Linked DNA regions of Arabidopsis thaliana. The protein of the gene in region 1 interacts with the protein of each later gene in a pairwise test. Each region holds a gene or a part of one and is shown in the gene's direction. Other genes may lie near its edges.

Region 1 (6,426 bases):
TGTTTCGTGTCCTAAGTCTTTAACATTAGAACCTTCAAGTTCCAAAGAATGTTTCTTTCTTTCTTCTTTTGTCAGTTTTGTGTTCATGGAAGTGTGATTGAAGTTTTTTGGTAATCTTCTTTGTAGTAACGGCTTTTTTGGGCATATTCTCAACGATAAATGAACACATAATTGAAAATGCTCCAACACCTCGTGGCCATGTTGGATCTTCCGGGAATGATCCATCCCTTTCTTATCCACTACTCATCGCCATCCTCAAGGATTTGGAAACTGTTGTGGAAGTGGCAGCTGAACACTTCTATGGAGACAAAAAATGGAACTACATTATTCTCACTGAAGCTATGAAGTAAGCTTGCTTTCTTCTGATCACTTGGATCTACACAACCTACTTAGTTGGCATTTTGATATCTTGAAAACTTTGAATTTTCAGGGCTGTCATTAGGTTAGCCTTGTTCCGGAATAGTGGGTATAAGATGCTTCTTCAAGGAGGGGAAACACCTAATGAGGAGAAAGATTCTAACCAATCCGAGTCGCAAAATAGAGCTGGTAATTCGGGTAGAAATCTCGGGCCTCATGGTCTTGGAAACCAAAATCATCATAATCCATGGAACTTGGAAGGACGGGCGATGTCTGCTTTAAGTTCATTTGGTCAGAATGCAAGAACAACAACATCTTCTACCCCCGGTTGGTCTCGAAGAATTCAACATCAGCAAGCAGTTATAGAGCCTCCAATGATCAAGGAGAGGCGAAGAACGATGTCCGAGCTACTTACTGAGAAGGGTGTTAATGGAGCGTTGTTTGCGATTGGTGAGGTTCTTTACATAACGAGACCGCTCATTTACGTTCTTTTCATCAGAAAATATGGAGTCCGATCTTGGATTCCTTGGGCTATATCGCTTTCTGTGGACACACTGGGGATGGGTCTTCTTGCAAATTCGAAGTGGTGGGGAGAGAAGAGCAAGCAAGTCCATTTCTCAGGACCTGAAAAGGATGAGGTTAGAAATCTCTTGGACCTCAATACAACAGTAATGTTGAACCGATTTAACTCATATTCTTGTTACTTCTTCAGCTGAGGAGACGAAAACTGATATGGGCATTGTACCTCATGAGAGATCCATTCTTCACCAAGTACACAAGGTGAGTGTTCTTATGGTTTCAATTATGGCATTTTCTGAAATGGGAAAAATTGAAACCGAAGTGGTTCATTTCCTCTTGGCTCTTATGTTAATATTAGATTTGGTATCCCTGGGTTTTAGGCTTAAAGCTTAAGCTATCGCGGGTTACTAATAAATCAAATATGCTTGTCTTGCAATTGCAGGCAGAAGCTGGAAAGCTCTCAAAAGAAGCTGGAACTAATTCCATTGATCGGATTCCTCACAGGTTTACTTTTTAAAGCTTTCATTTCATTCACGAGATCACTGATTGTCTTGTCTACTTGCCATCTACTGACCTTATTTTGGTTCTCTCATGGAAATTGCAGAGAAAATTGTGGAGCTTTTGGAGGGAGCTCAGTCACGGTACACTTACATATCGGGATCGTGAGGTTAAGCGTTTTACTTATGGTTTATATGCAACGGAAGAATATTGCCATTGTTGGAATGCTTTTTCAGATCATCAAAGGCTCCTACAGATTTCTTAGGGAATGGTTTCAGGCTTTTGTTAGAAATTGTGTTTATTGCAACAGGTAGAGAACATAACCATAGACAGATGTATCTGAAGAGATAAGCTTCTCTATGTCTAAAGAAATGGACCGATACGAATAAAACAAGCATCATTAAAGATTAAATGGTTTGTAAGAAATACTACACTTATTTATGTGAAATTGTGTGGTTAGTGAAAAGTAAAAACATCGGAATCCAAAACCTCAAATTTACCAATCAGCCCAAATTATTGATGCTGGCGTAATGAATGGTATGCTGATGGTAGGCAAAAGTTGGTGGCTGCGAAAATTACAACATTATCCCTCTGTGGTGGACCCGAATCTGTAATCGGAAAAGGTGGAACCCACTTGGTTTAACTTTTAAGCCTAAAAGGTTACTACCGGTTTGACCGGTTTATAATTTGGTGTTTAATTCTAATCCCGGATCCGTTTGTTTGTTAATCTCAAGGCCACGTTATCGCCAATATTTTGATTTTTGAGTGGGTAGGGAATGGTGGGGTCGAATAGTTGGGCCTAGCCCTCAACAATGTGTGGAACTGAAGAGAGTAGGGTCCAGCTCAGGCCCACATTCACATTTTCGTTTTGTAGCCTTTCTTTTCTGGTGCTTACGGTCCCTCTTTCTGGTCGGTCGTATGTACAAGTAGCATAGCTAGTGGTTCAAACCCGAAACAAGTACCAACGAATCAAAATAAGTTTGAATCGGTTACATCTAGTTACCGTCGAACTTACAATCATTTCGATTACTTTGATCTGATTTCTAGTTCGGTTTGTATGTTTAATATCCGGATTGTACAAGTACACAAGTACATAAGTATGCGTATATGTATGTGACCGGTTTAATCAAAGGACGGACGATAGGAGGATTTTGGAATCCTGGAAAGAGGATTATTCCATAGACACTAATTAGCTTTTTGGTGGCGCAGCCTTGTGACCTACATTAATGGGGTCCAACCCCAAGTATGGGCTTACAGCTTTTTCCATAAAATTAAAGTAAATCTTTTTTTGCCTAACCAATAAAAATTATTGAAAATCTTTCCAACCATAGAAAAGTTAAATTTGATCAGCGATGGAAATTTTTGTACAAAGCTAGGTATTTCATTTGGGAGTGTACTAGTAACTAGTAAGTACTAACCAGAATGAGTTTCTGATTTTGGATTTTGAAGCTTTTCTTAGGTTAAAAAACAAGTATATTACTAAACAATAAAAGAAAAACATTTTGTGAAAAGAGAAATAAAGTTTACTGGACCCCATTGTACAGATGGTCCCATAATAATACTGATAGAAGATAGAGCAATGGAAAGTGATTTGTTCACGTGGTACAATCGGAATGGTTCTTTAAAGCTCATCGAACACATCAGGACCGTTGATTTTTCCCGCATCAAAAAGCGTTGAATACTATTCTCACTTGTTTTCCTGCTCCTATATATATATCCTGACGAGTCACATTTAGTAATCTCCTTGGACGTGTAACGCCGTTAAAACGATTCTTTCCCATTGTATCCGCTTTTAACAACTCTCGTCGTCATCTCCACCGTCCGTTTTCTCTCAGCTATATTTTAATGGCGACAATTCAGAAGCTTGAAGAAGTTGCAGGCAAAGATCAAACTCTAAGAGCCGTTGATCTAACCATCATCAACGGCGTCAGAAACGTCGAAACTTCAAGACCTTTCCAAGTAAATCCCACAGTGAGTCTCGAGCCCAAGGCGGAGCCGGTGATGCCGTCGTTTTCAATGTCTTTAGCTCCACCGTCTTCGACAGGACCACCATTGAAGAGAGCTTCGACTAAAGACCGTCACACGAAGGTTGAAGGAAGAGGGAGAAGGATACGGATGCCTGCCACGTGTGCGGCTAGGATTTTTCAATTAACTCGAGAGTTAGGTCACAAATCCGACGGCGAAACGATTCGGTGGTTGTTGGAGAACGCTGAGCCGGCGATTATAGCCGCCACGGGTACGGGAACGGTTCCCGCCATCGCCATGTCGGTTAACGGAACCTTAAAAATCCCGACGACGACGAACGCTGATTCTGATATGGGTGAAAATCTGATGAAGAAGAAACGTAAACGACCTTCTAACAGTGAGTATATAGACATAAGCGACGCCGTTTCAGCTTCCTCCGGTTTAGCTCCAATTGCCACGACGACAACGATCCAACCTCCGCAAGCTCTGGCATCATCCACTGTGGCTCAGCAACTTCTGCCGCAAGGAATGTATCCGATGTGGGCTATTCCATCAAACGCAATGATTCCGACGGTCGGAGCTTTCTTCTTGATTCCACAAATCGCTGGTCCGTCGAATCAGCCTCAGTTATTAGCTTTTCCCGCCGCCGCTGCTTCGCCGTCGTCTTACGTCGCCGCTGTTCAACAGGCTTCCACGATGGCTAGACCACCTCCTTTACAAGTTGTTCCAAGCAGCGGCTTTGTATCCGTTTCAGACGTTAGCGGTTCGAATTTATCAAGAGCGACGTCGGTTATGGCTCCGAGCTCAAGCTCAGGCGTAACAACCGGTAGTTCATCGTCAATTGCAACAACAACGACGCACACGCTGAGAGACTTCTCCCTAGAGATATACGAGAAACAAGAGCTTCACCAGTTCATGAGCACCACAACAGCACGGTCATCGAACCACTGAAGAAAAGAAAGGAAACGGCGGCGTATTAGTGATCGGAAAAAAAGCACGTGTGCACATGAAGAAGTGCACGTGTTAAGAAGTGGGCCTCGATTTTAGGCAGAAGTGGGTCAACACGCACCAAAAAGAGAGTGGAGGGAGGAGGAGAGGGGCCACACGGCTCCCACCTTACGCATAGCTTCCGAGGCAGCCAGGTTGGGTGTGGTCCCCAAATGGTTAGAGCTACGTGGTCCGTATGAGTAGGACCAGCTTAAGCTTAAGCATAATTCGAAACGTTTCGTTTTTTTGGTGGGGGCTCACCACTTTGTCTTGACTTTTTTGGTCTTTGTAATTTTACAAAATAAGATTTATTGAAGCCCTCTCTAAGTCATGGTCCACTCAACAACAATTGTGATATTGATGTTTTGATTTTATTAAAATCTGTAACAAAATAAATATTTCTATCTAAAATGAAAATACTAATGTTGTTTTCCTAAAATTGTTGTAGCATTACTTTTCAAATGATTCCATTTTCTTACAAGTGTTACAAAAGCTTTTTGCGAAAAAAGTCTCGTCCGTGTTATTGGCGGGGCCTAGTAAGCTTGATTGTACCACTAATACGGCGTTGTTTCGTGGGGCCTGAAAGCTTCCCACTCAAGGGACGCCTAGTTGGGTCAGCACCACCAGTTTAACGCTAAGGAAATAAAGGAACAGCCTGGCGTGGGTCATACTTGTGTCTATCTAATCTTTACCGTTCAATTCCATCGTCTTGTCCTAACCGTTGATTCTATTTCGTTCGTTGTTTAATTAGTACTAGTAGTAGTAGATATTTTCTTCTTGTCTACGGTCTCAACGCCAGACAGGATTTACTATAAGATAACTTTGTTTATGTTTGATTTATAATTCAAGTGTGGTTGGTTAAAGTTAAACCATGGTTCTCCGTTTCACACCGTTGATTATATATTTTTTTAAGATATGTAGGAAGTAAAACTTTAAAAGGTTAAACACAAGGTAAAATGTATTATTGGAGGCCTAAACCAACTTGGTGGCCGTGGATGGGGAAAAAAGGTCCAGAAGTGTTGGCTATAGGATTCCTCGTGGACTTAGAGAAATGACTTGTCGTTCTCTTCTTTTATTTCAGTGGACCTCATTAATTTTTATATATAGTTGGCCTATAAATTTATAAATGTTCCTTTATTTTTCTTAAAAAACAAAAAGGTTTTAAATCAAACAGCGGGAAACCAGCCCAATGCTTTTTTAATTTCTTGATTAAGCCCAAAAAAGGGAAAAAGTTGTATGGGCTTACATAACATTTAGGACTAAGGCCCATTATTTTGCGAACAACACAAAATTGCTTACATAACAATTGCTACGATTCATGTTGCAGAAGAACACCGTTTTTGTTTTTGTTTCTTAGCCTTAATTTAATTGTTTGTATTCAATTGTTTTTATCATTTAGAATTTTGCTTCGTCCTTGTCGAAATCCTCTCTTATGTTCTTGGGTTCTTATGTACTTATTCTTTTCTTTCTTGTTCGTTCTTTTTTCAAGTTATGTGAAGTAATATTTGTCAATGATTTCAAAGTAAGTTGTTAAAGGCTCAAGAAACCAAATCGTTATCTATTATGTCACTAATAAAATTCTACTAAATATATATAATTCTTCTCCTTTTTTTACTTGCCGATAATTGTATCCTATTTACAATGAAATAACGCAAAAGACTTGGCGTATTATCTTTTGACACACGTTTCAAGTCAACGATTTCGACATCTGCTTTATTCTATTGGTATGTCGACCAAGATGTCAATGAAGGGGTGGACAACGATTTACTGTTTTCAAATATCTGGATTATTAACCTCTGGATGTTATCTATATTTTAGAAAATCTGGATACCTCCACAAGAACAACATCCATGTTCCGAACTAAAAAATGGAATCATATAATTTCTGTTTTTAGTAAATTAATAACTTTACATAGTTAAGTTTTTTTAAAGTATGTTATGACAAGGCCATGCCGAATCCATGTGCAATCATAATCCTTATACAAATTACCTGTCCGCGTTGACGAAACCTTTATCGTGCCCTCTTGTCATTTGTATACTCTAGTAAACAGTTGTTCTCGTTATGTTAATTAACTTCTATAATGTTTCATATTCTAACAGA
Region 2 (5,570 bases), on another chromosome or scaffold:
GCAAACACGAACACACACAGGGCTCGAGAGACCTCTCGACATGTTTAAGGGACAGACAGCGAGCGACACTGAACGTCTTTTTCTCGGGCCTCTCCCACTTATCATTCCCTTCCCTGTCTCTTTTTTTTTTGTTTTTCTTATTTGTATAATAATCATTAGATTTTACAATTTTAAATAGCTTTTTCTTTCCAAAACCTTTGGACTGGACTAACCTGGATCGGTCCGATCTTGATAACGCCGGTTTTATAAAAATCTTAATATTTTTTAGGGTTTAAACTTAATTTGTACGATCATGGATGGATCATCATGTGGTACGAGTCCACTATTAATTCTTCTAAACACCTAAACAAAAACGATATACTTACATGATTGTTTCTGGTTGGATTCGTAGGTGGCATTGTGACTACACTCGTTCATCAATATGGGCCGATTTAAAAATGACTAGATTTTTTTTTTCTGGATCTTGAAAATCCAGACTAATCCAACAGGTTTTTGGTCTACCACAACATTTCAAACAAAGACTATTTATTAGAAACCATAAACCCGGAAAAACTACGAATACCAAATATTATTACAATAGTTTGCTTCGTCGTTTACGTGGAAATTTATATAATTCACAGTAAAAAGAAAGGAATACAAAAAAGTACACGTAGGTGGCGCAGTGTTCCCTTGTATAGCCACATAGAGTCCAAAGAGTAACATGCTTTTTTTTTTCATCTTTCCTTAGTTTTTTTTTTGTAAATATTTCTTTAATTATTCAAATCACTCGATAACGATATAAATATGATCATTTGCTACAATCAATAAAAAGAGAGCCTCTTTTTCACTGCCCCGAATCTCTCTGTTTTCATAACTACTCCATGGTGAATGATTTGATACACTATTGACTATAACTCTAATTCTTAATGATTTTATACACATGGATTTAAGTTATGATTTATAGAGGGTAACAAGCAGAATATTTGAATGTTTTTATTGCGGATATTTAAATATATAACTTACCGGAAAAAGTGGCAGTCTAAATTAGAAGAGCTTGTTAATTATGCATGTAAAATTAAATTTAAATATGGTTTAGTCATCCCTTTGTGGACACTATTGACGTTTTTCCAAAAATTTTCTTTTCACTTGTAAGTTTTTTTATTTTAAGAATGGCTTGTTTTTTTTAACTATTTTTAAAACAATCTATTGTCTACTCAAATAGCATAAGCATCGATAAATATATATATATTTACATGTATGATAATGATATATGGAATATTTTATGAAGGAAAAAAAGAGTTGTTCTGATTGATCACAAGATTACTTACCTCAGAAAAAATCTAAATATGGCTTTACTTAATTAGGGTAAATGTTTGAATACGTAACATTAGACTTTCGAAACATATTAACCAAACAAATCGTTAAGAACGCTCTAATAAATTTGATCAAGATATAACCCTGAGGCAGCTAGATGAGCAATTACTATTGTTTGAGATTAAACAAAAAAAAGCTTAAGGACAAAGAAAAAGAAAAAAAGAAGAATTTAATTTTCTAATCGCGTAGGATTTCAAATTAACCTAAATTAAATACGGTTCATTAATACGTACGGACACATGAGCTAGCTTTTTTTTTTTGATAACCACGAAAAAAATATGTATGCTAACTTTCAAAGAAAAGAATTGAATTCATCCGTTTTAAGATAAAACAAGCTTAAGCACATTCGCCACTTGGCAAACTCTGGTCCATGGGATGAGAACAAGAAAGCTAGGACCGGTGGATCATTCCCCGTGGGTGTGAAACTCTGAGTCGGTAGAGAGAGAAAGAAGAGATAGCAGAGAGAGAAAGTCTTTGTTTAATCCTTTTTTTACTTTCATACGGACAGAACTAGAAGCGTTTTGTTCAGACAAAGCCGAAGTGAGAAGAGGAAAGAAAAGCTTTTCACTTTGGGTTTCATAGAATCTGCAAAAACCAAATCAGAGTAGTGGAGAGAGAGAGAGACTTAAATTCTAGGGATGAGCAGAGCAGAGGAGAGAGAAATCTAAAAACGCCCATGGCGGCGTTGCAGAAATTTATAGAGAAAAATAAAGATTCATAAATAAGTAGACAGCTTAAATTCTTCTTTCTTTCTTCTCTTCTGTTTCTTTTTCTTCTTCTTACTTTCTCTCACTTCAACTACTCACTACCAAGAAACACACTTTGTTCCAAGAGAGAGAGAGAAAGAGAGATCTTGTAGAACATTCGAATTTAGATTCGGAGAGCAGCAACAACACCCACAAGCTAAGGGAGTATAAGGCTGAATTTGAGTGAGAAGAAGAAGGAGAAAAAAGGATAAGGATTTCATGGTAATTAGGGTTTCTGAATTATGGATATAGTTGGGTCAAGATTAGGGTTTGAAGTTTTAGGTCTTAAAAAATGGCTGGGATATTCTCATTAGGAGGTAACAACAACAACAACGGAGACGAAGAAGAAGAAAATCAACAACAACAAAAGACAAATTGGGTTTGGTATAGATCAAACGCAAACACCAATAATATCAACCCAAGCTCGAGCCAACAAGTATGGCAGATTCCACCAGAGCAGATGCTCATGCATCATCATTCACATCCACAACAACAAAGCTTAGATCTTTATCCAGGTCATCAGATCGACGTCTCTGATTTAGCCACTTCATCAAGATCCATCACCATTAGCTGTCGGGACTGTGGGAACCAAGCCAAGAAAGACTGCACTCATATGCGTTGCAGGACTTGCTGTAAAAGCCGTGGATTCGATTGTTCCACTCACGTCAGGAGCACGTGGATCCCCGTTGCGAGGCGCCGCGAGAGACAACAGCAGCTTCATATGTCCACATCTGGAGGTGGCGGCGGAAGCGGTAGTGGCGGTGCTGGAGGAGGCGGTTCGAGTATCCCAAAACGCCATAGGGACCCTACTCTTCCAGGAACATCCTCCTCTTCTCGCTTGCCATCCCACTCAGCAGGTTTTTTTTTTTTATGTCTTTATAAACAATTTGATATCCAGACAACTTCATATATTCGAACCATATGTTTTTGTTAGAAGAAACACGAATTTTTCAACACAAAAATATATGTGAGTTTAATTTTCCTTTCACTACTTGCACAAATTTTGTTTACTTTAAAAATACAACATTCTATATTTATTTTTAATCAAATTTCAGTGTGAAAAAATGTTTGATAAAAAACATTTAAATGTTGTGTTCTGTTTTGAAGTGAAACATAACATTAAAACATAAACGTAATCTTGTGTTTATGGACGTTGATTAATGTGTATAATTGTGTATATATGTTTTTAGGGTTAGAAATGGGGGAGGCAAGTTTTCCGGGGGAAGTGAGCTCAGATGCGCTTTTTCGGTGTGTTAAAATGAGTGGCGTAGATGATGGAGGAGATGGTCAGTACGCTTATCAAACGACGGTCAATATTGGAGGTCATCTCTTCAAAGGAATTCTGTATGACCAAGGCCCTGAAAGCAGCTACATGAGTGGCGGTAGTGGCGGAAGCGATCATCAGAGCTCATCCGCAGGAGGCGGAGGAGGAGGACATCCGTTTAATCCTCCAGTTGTGACCGACGGTGGCGGAGGAGTATCATCGGCCATGTTTGTAGATCCAAATTCTGGTGGTTACTATTCAAGTAACATGACGACTAGTGTGTTCATGCCACCAGGTACGCAATTCTATCAAAATCCACCAAGATCTTGATTAAATCAAGAACTTGACTTTTTATTTTTGTTATATAGTGATTCTATATATGTAATGTGTCTTTTGTTTTGTTGCTCTGGTCAATCATATGTAATACTTAGACGATTTAAACATTTGTATGTCTGTTTGTTGTCATGTATAATGTATGTGTTAATTTAATATTTAAATTGTACGGTAATGAATCTTTATTATAAATTTTAGTATTTGTGGGTTTTATATAAACAAGTAAGTGTTTTTGGTTCTCGATACGTTTTTTTTCCATGTTTATGCCGATGTTGCCGGTTGCTTCTCCCATTGGATAAACTCAAGAAATTCTACGTTATAATAATAGGTAAACTATAATATTATCATAAGGTCTAGTGAAGCCTACATGATTTGATACTCAGAACAATATCTTCATATAGCATCAACATTTTATATTGTTACTGTAAAGTTAATCTATATAGATTTGAAGGTAAATTGATTAGCGTGAATTAAATAGTGACAACGACAGGAAAGCAAATGAGGGCAAAGTTGTTAAAAATATAAGTTACGAACTTACGATTATAGTATTGGTCCTATTGTTACACTCGTAGTGTTCTACTTCACAATGAATTGGTGTCTGAAGAATAAATGACGAATAAATATATGAAGCAACTCGTGGATTAATAATAGAATTCGTACGTTACTGCATCACGTGCCTATGGAAGAAAAAAACAATTAGTTTTAGAGCTTACTGTTATGTAAAATTAATTATTCGTAAGATTTACTCAAAAAATCTCCCAATAAAACCTTTCCTAGAGTTAATAAATGTTGATCATCTAGATAGATATGATCGTAGAACCTAATTAATTAGTATGTTTTCTCACGCAAGACCATCTAGATCATCATGGTTTTCTAATCCAATATTTTTGTTTGTTTTTGTTATGAGTAATCCAAGAAGACTTATCAAGTGTAAACTAAAAAGGTGCTCACTCAAAGGCTTGGAAAAAGTTTATCAGATTGATAGTACTTTTACTTACCTTATAAATATTATGGTGAATCGCATATATATGTAGGAAAACATTAAACACTAATCTTCTTTGTCACACCAGTTTAACGCCATTAATCTATGTGTGCAATTAATACCAAAGATTAGCATTTTGATAAATTTATCAGATAGTAATCATATTTCCTAGAGCCTAAATCGGTCGCAGTATGCGCATTAATATCAATTGATTATAAATGACTCACTCATAAAATATGTAAGCTTTTCTCGCTAATCTGCTTGCGCACATGTTCTCCACCCGGAATTTGGCAACCATAACAATGTGTAATTAGCTTACTTAATCCTAATTTCCGGGCAATTATACACTACTATGTAATATTATCCATATATGACTCGTTCACTTTGGTAAACCAAAAAATATTCAAGAAGGGGAAACAAAGAAACGATTAGATCACCTGAAGTTCACGTAGTTTAGCCTCTGGAACGTGCCTTGAATTGCAAGTCAAACATCCTCCTTTTTTTCAACTCTCCAAGGGTGAAGGACACAACTAAAAGAAATATGGTTTCTGGTTGGAATTGAGTTCAAGCAGGATACATAAACAAAGAGAAAGAGAGAGAGGGGGAGAGATGTAAAGATGAAATTAATAATGAGGAATGTTGCAGAGATTGGAGATAAAGAGGGGCAAAGTAAGGACGACGTACCCAAAAAACAACTAAATAAATAGATATAGGAAGAAAAAAAAAGAGAAGCTAGCTAGGGTTTTTGATAGAGCTTTAGTTAGGGTGGGGATGAAAGAAACTGGCTCAGTGATGCAGTAACCTATTATTGTGGTGTGTACCCATACTTTCAATCAGCTTTTCTTTTCTTTTTTTCTTTGGACGACAAGACACGCATACGTACACCTTTTAT
Region 3 (5,179 bases), 2.0 Mb from region 1:
CATTCTGGTCTCCAAAATCGTTTTTCTTGCTCGAATCTTGAAGATCTTCTAAGCCTTTAGAAAAATGAAGAAATCAAGTTGGCAAACTGTTAATTAATTAAATCCAATGAATTGGTGGGTATTGCACCTCCACAAGTTCCCTTTGACAATGTGTCCTCTTCTCCGCAAGAATGAGATGCAACTATTTTGGACAATTTCTCCTTTTAATTACTTTTTGATCGATAATCTTCTCTTAATATCACGTTGTAATCTGATTCATTCAAATATCTATCGAAATTTAAGCTTATCTTTGATTTTTTCGATACTTATTTTTGAAATTTTAAGTGCATTTTGTTTATAATCATAGTTGGGGATTTAATAATTTTAGGTGGAATAATATTTTATGCATATTGGAGATTTATTTCTCGAGAAATATTCACAAACAAACAAACAACCGGCTTTTGCACAAAAATAATAATGACATGGAGTCGAGTTGTTTATACTAATGTTTGTCACTATCTCACCATTGGAATTTAAATCTTGGATATATAATACATGTTTTGACAAAAAAAAAAGTTGGCACAAATTATGTTGTTGTAACAAAATACGTCTGATGCATTGATTTGAGATTGACTCTTTGAACCCAAAAATGTATCACCGTAATATTAATACATTTTCCACATCAACTTGTAATCTATTTGTGTTCAGTAATATATTGGTGAGTGATTATGTCACCTAACCCGAAAGCTTATAAGATGAGCAATCTTTATATCGAGGATGGTGCAAAAAATAGCAAATTGTAACTTTTTGTCCTTCTTATTCTATAAAATGTCAGATATAATTAGTACTGCAAATTGCTCGCTTATTCGTATTAATCTTAACAACTAGGGCTACTTGGGAATATGTATAGTTGTTGGAAAAACTAATGCATTAGATAACCCTTTATTATTTTTCCCAATTGTGTTTTGTTATTATGCCCACCACTCAAATCCAAGAGTCCAATATATTCATATGATTTGAATATACGTTTGTGGAAGAAAACACACCCAAGAAATATTGTCCAATTCGTAAATTTCCCTGACTTTACGTTGGTTACTTTTAGCAAACTGCTTAGTTTGATTTTCTTCTAATTCGTCTTATTAATATTCTGTTCTTTTCTTTGTTGAAAAGGAATTTGATTAATACTTTTTTTAGTATCGTCGAAAGGCTCAAGTTGATTACAAGATGAGGAAAGATTATTATGATGGACCCATGACATGATATCTTCACCAACTTGGAACATTGAAAGTCCTATGGAGTTATTTTTGAAATTTTTACCTTAGTCAGAAGGTTCCAACAAAATTAAAAATCCACCAAAAACGCATCCAAGAATAGTACCAACTGAAAATAGATCGGCAATCACAAAGACAAAGGTCGGTCCTCCCAACCAATTTGTTTCAAGAATTTTTTCAAACCTATGCATAAATTAAGTATAGCTCTTAACCAATATATATAGCTTAACCAACTCGACACATAGTGATCATGTTCTTATAATCTTTAATAACGTTTTAGAGTTAGCTATATATATAGCCTCGAGACAGTAGAAGATTGAAATATCTATGCAAAACCTCAAAGATAATGTTCAATGTTTTTATATTCTGAATATTGATATAATCGGTGAGATAGAGATGAGTTCAGAATTTTTTTCTCGGTATCTTAAATGATATTGATTTCATTTTCTCAACTTTCATTCAAGAGTGTTTTTGGTTAAAACATAAAAACGTCCATTCTAATTATAGTAATGCTTGTGTGGTTACGACAACATGCTCATTCATTGTAATAAACTGGTGAAATATATAGCACCATTGACAAATAGACAGCCTCAGTAACAAAGCAAGGAAAAACAAAATTAAAATTTAATAACCGGTTATATTAAATATCGAGAACCAGTCCGTAGAATTTCATGGGAAACCGGGCCGGTCCTTGATATAAAGAAAGAGAGAGACGTTTCTTAACTGAAGCAGTACACAAACTCCAAACAAATCCCAAGTGGACAACCGAAGAACCCACACAAACTAACTCTCTTTCCTAATCCACATACTTGCATTTTTATATATAAACACTCTGTCCTTATATAGTTCTGTATATTACATGTAAATATCTCTCATTAATACAACCTCACGAAGAAAACCATTTGTTTTCTTAGAGAGAGCCAAGAATATTAAAAGAGATATAGAGAAAAGATTTGCTTTAATAATGCCAACGTCGATACAGTTTCAGAGATCCTCCACCGCCGCAGAAGCAGCCAACGCCACCGTAAGAAACTATCCCCACCACCATCAGAAACAGGTTCAAAAAGTGAGCCTCACGCGCGGGATGGCTGATGTGCCGGAGCACGTGGAGCTTTCCCACACGCACGTGGTTGGTCCTTCTCAGTGCTTCTCCGTCGTGGTACAAGACGTGGAGGCTCCGGTTTCCACAGTCTGGTCGATCCTAAGCCGCTTCGAACACCCTCAAGCGTACAAACACTTCGTGAAAAGCTGCCACGTGGTTATCGGAGACGGTCGAGAGGTTGGGTCGGTGAGAGAGGTCAGAGTCGTCTCTGGTCTCCCCGCGGCGTTTAGCTTAGAGCGGCTTGAGATCATGGACGATGATCGCCACGTCATCAGTTTCAGCGTCGTTGGTGGGGACCACAGACTCATGAACTACAAGTCGGTGACGACGGTGCATGAGTCGGAGGAGGACTCCGACGGCAAGAAGAGGACACGTGTCGTTGAGTCATACGTCGTTGACGTACCGGCGGGTAACGATAAGGAAGAGACTTGTAGCTTTGCTGATACTATAGTACGGTGCAACTTGCAATCGCTGGCTAAACTCGCCGAGAACACTTCTAAATTCTCGTAATTACATTTTTTCAATCTTTTTATTTTTATTTTATTTTCTATATTTCTCTCTTTCAAAATTTATCTTTTATTTTTGGGATTCTCGAGGTGGTTTTGGATTTTAAGATTTAAGTATTTAACTATCGTCGGGGATTTTTCGAAACTAAAACAAAAAACAAGAATTATATCAAACAAGATGGTTTTGGTTTTTCGAAGTTAGGGTTTTTAGGGTCTGTTAAATGTATGTCTCAACGATACTTTGGTTTTACCCTTAAAACCATTTCTTCTTGTACAGCTCTCGTAGCTTTATTATATAAACATTGATTGTTTAGTTATTTTCATAATCTTCTTCTTGCGCCGTATTTTACATATTTATTATTTGTCTTTTAATTTAGTTAATCATGAAACAATATAGACTATATAGTGATTCAGCTATAATGCATGGGGTATATTGTTACGATATTTCCGATATTATTATGTCTAATTTCATTAATTTTGATAACCTACATAATAATGTATTACACAAACAATTTGATTAATATAATCATTGGCATATCTACTATATATGAAGAGATCTGAACAATTGTGGGCAATCAGAAAACCCATACATGTGCTGATTGAGATGATTCGTTTTCCTTTATGTTAAGAGAAGAACAAAGTAAAACTATACATCATTTGAATTTTATTGAAATGTATAAACAGTAGAATACTACTTGGTGTTTTAAATGAATTTGCTCACCAGCTATATAATCAAAGCGTTCAATCCTAAAAGCAAAGATGGAATAATATCAATTAGTGATAATTAAACTTGAACCAAGGCGTAATGCATGTATTGAGTTATGTGATATAATCTTAAGAATTTTCTTTATGGCATATATAATGCTAGGCCAAAATAAATGGTGTCAGGTAATACAGCATTATATCTTTAATTCCCTAATTTGGAAACGTAAAATTTTCAAATTATTTGTCATTTCATCAACAAACTTTACATAAATACGTAAATGTTTTGTTTTTACTCACCAAAAAAATAAATCAAAATTATTTACATACCAAAATGATAAAATTTCTTAGTTCCTTTTATAGTTTTGGGATGCGTGAACCGTTTCAATAATTCAAATGTCAAAATTATTACTTTTTCGGATTTCCTTGTCCTATATATTAGTTCATGAATAAAAATGTACATTTGAAAAATCAAATAACTTTATCTAGTTATATAAATATAAAGAATCCAATGAACAAGATGAAAAGACATTCAAAGTTTGCAAAAGCAAAATGTGTTTAGTTACTTTATAATTAAGTAGTAAGATTTCGAGACTTGTGAACCAAATTCAAAATTGAATACATATATAGACATTCATGTATATGATCGTACGTAAAATGCAAGTTGGGGTGTAATAAAATCCAACTTGTTATAGAAAAAAAACAAAGCATGCAAGTTGCAAAGGAAAAAAAAAAAAGTCGCTACTATTCTTTGACACCTTTAAAAAATATTCCATAAATAAAAAAAAGGTTAAAGAAAAATCAAATTGATTACATAAATGATTATTAATTTATTATCATAATGAGTACGAAATATATATGTAAACATTGTCGTGGAAGGAAGGAATTGCAAGTTGATATGCAAGTTGGCAAGGAGGCTATTAATGTTTTCCCTCTTTTGGTCGTTTGTATAATGACATTTAAACCCACCCACCTTTCTTATTTTCTTTTCTGTCTTCCTATTTCTGATCACTATTATTATATTACTTATATTTTATTTCACATTTTTTTTAATTTTATAAACCCATAAGAAATTTTTTTCCCTTTTATTTACATATGAAAACATATGTATTCCCGTGTCAAAAAAATGAAAATTCTGACCAATCCAGAGAGATACGATTTATGGGGTTTGTATATTCCAATGTGGCATGTTGCATATAAACTACTACTATTTAACTAGTTTCTTAATAATTCAAATCCAAATAAACATGCATAAAAGATTGTGATAACGTACATAGCTGTGATATAATATGCATTACTTTTAAAAAGCAACGGAGATAGTTCGTATTTTCATATAGTCTTTAGCTGGGCTATCTAACACTTTAACTAATTAGAATAAGATATAAAGTTTGCTATAAAATGTAAATAGATGATTTATCCAATATATACATATGAGTGTGTCTGAAAAAGGCAAACCAAATTCAATGTAACGTGAAGAACACCGCCTCCTTCCTTAAAGTTTATTGGGGATAGATATTTTCGTCCATGATTTTAACTTCTACGATTTTAGGTTTGGAAGCATTTCGGTGTGAGTGGTGTGTAATGTTGAAAACATCAACGCGGATAAAAATCTTCTATAT

The links.
Region 2: the proteins of TCP9 (region 1) and STY2 interact in binary tests that used the Arabidopsis thaliana proteins (3 or more experiments, as listed by UniProt).
Region 3: the proteins of TCP9 (region 1) and PYL6 interact in binary tests that used the Arabidopsis thaliana proteins (3 or more experiments, as listed by UniProt).

Annotation. Positions count from the first base shown.
Region 1 is NC_003071.7:18,818,581-18,825,006, reverse strand, and holds TCP9 (TCP family transcription factor), read left to right. Parts: upstream 1-3,117; 5' UTR 3,118-3,219; coding exon 3,220-4,290; 3' UTR 4,291-4,765; downstream 4,766-6,426. Other genes in the region: SSE1 (shrunken seed protein (SSE1)), read left to right, coding at 127-346, 431-995, 1,070-1,137, 1,319-1,380, 1,481-1,542.
Region 2 is NC_003075.7:17,153,828-17,159,397, reverse strand, and holds STY2 (Lateral root primordium (LRP) protein-like protein), read left to right. Parts: upstream 1-1,752; 5' UTR 1,753-2,391; coding exon 2,392-2,956; intron 2,957-3,289; coding exon 3,290-3,693; 3' UTR 3,694-3,842; downstream 3,843-5,570.
Region 3 is NC_003071.7:16,842,860-16,848,038, reverse strand, and holds PYL6 (PYR1-like 6), read left to right. Parts: upstream 1-1,844; 5' UTR 1,845-2,214; coding exon 2,215-2,862; 3' UTR 2,863-3,451; downstream 3,452-5,179. UniProt on the Arabidopsis thaliana protein: Receptor for abscisic acid (ABA) required for ABA-mediated responses such as stomatal closure and germination inhibition.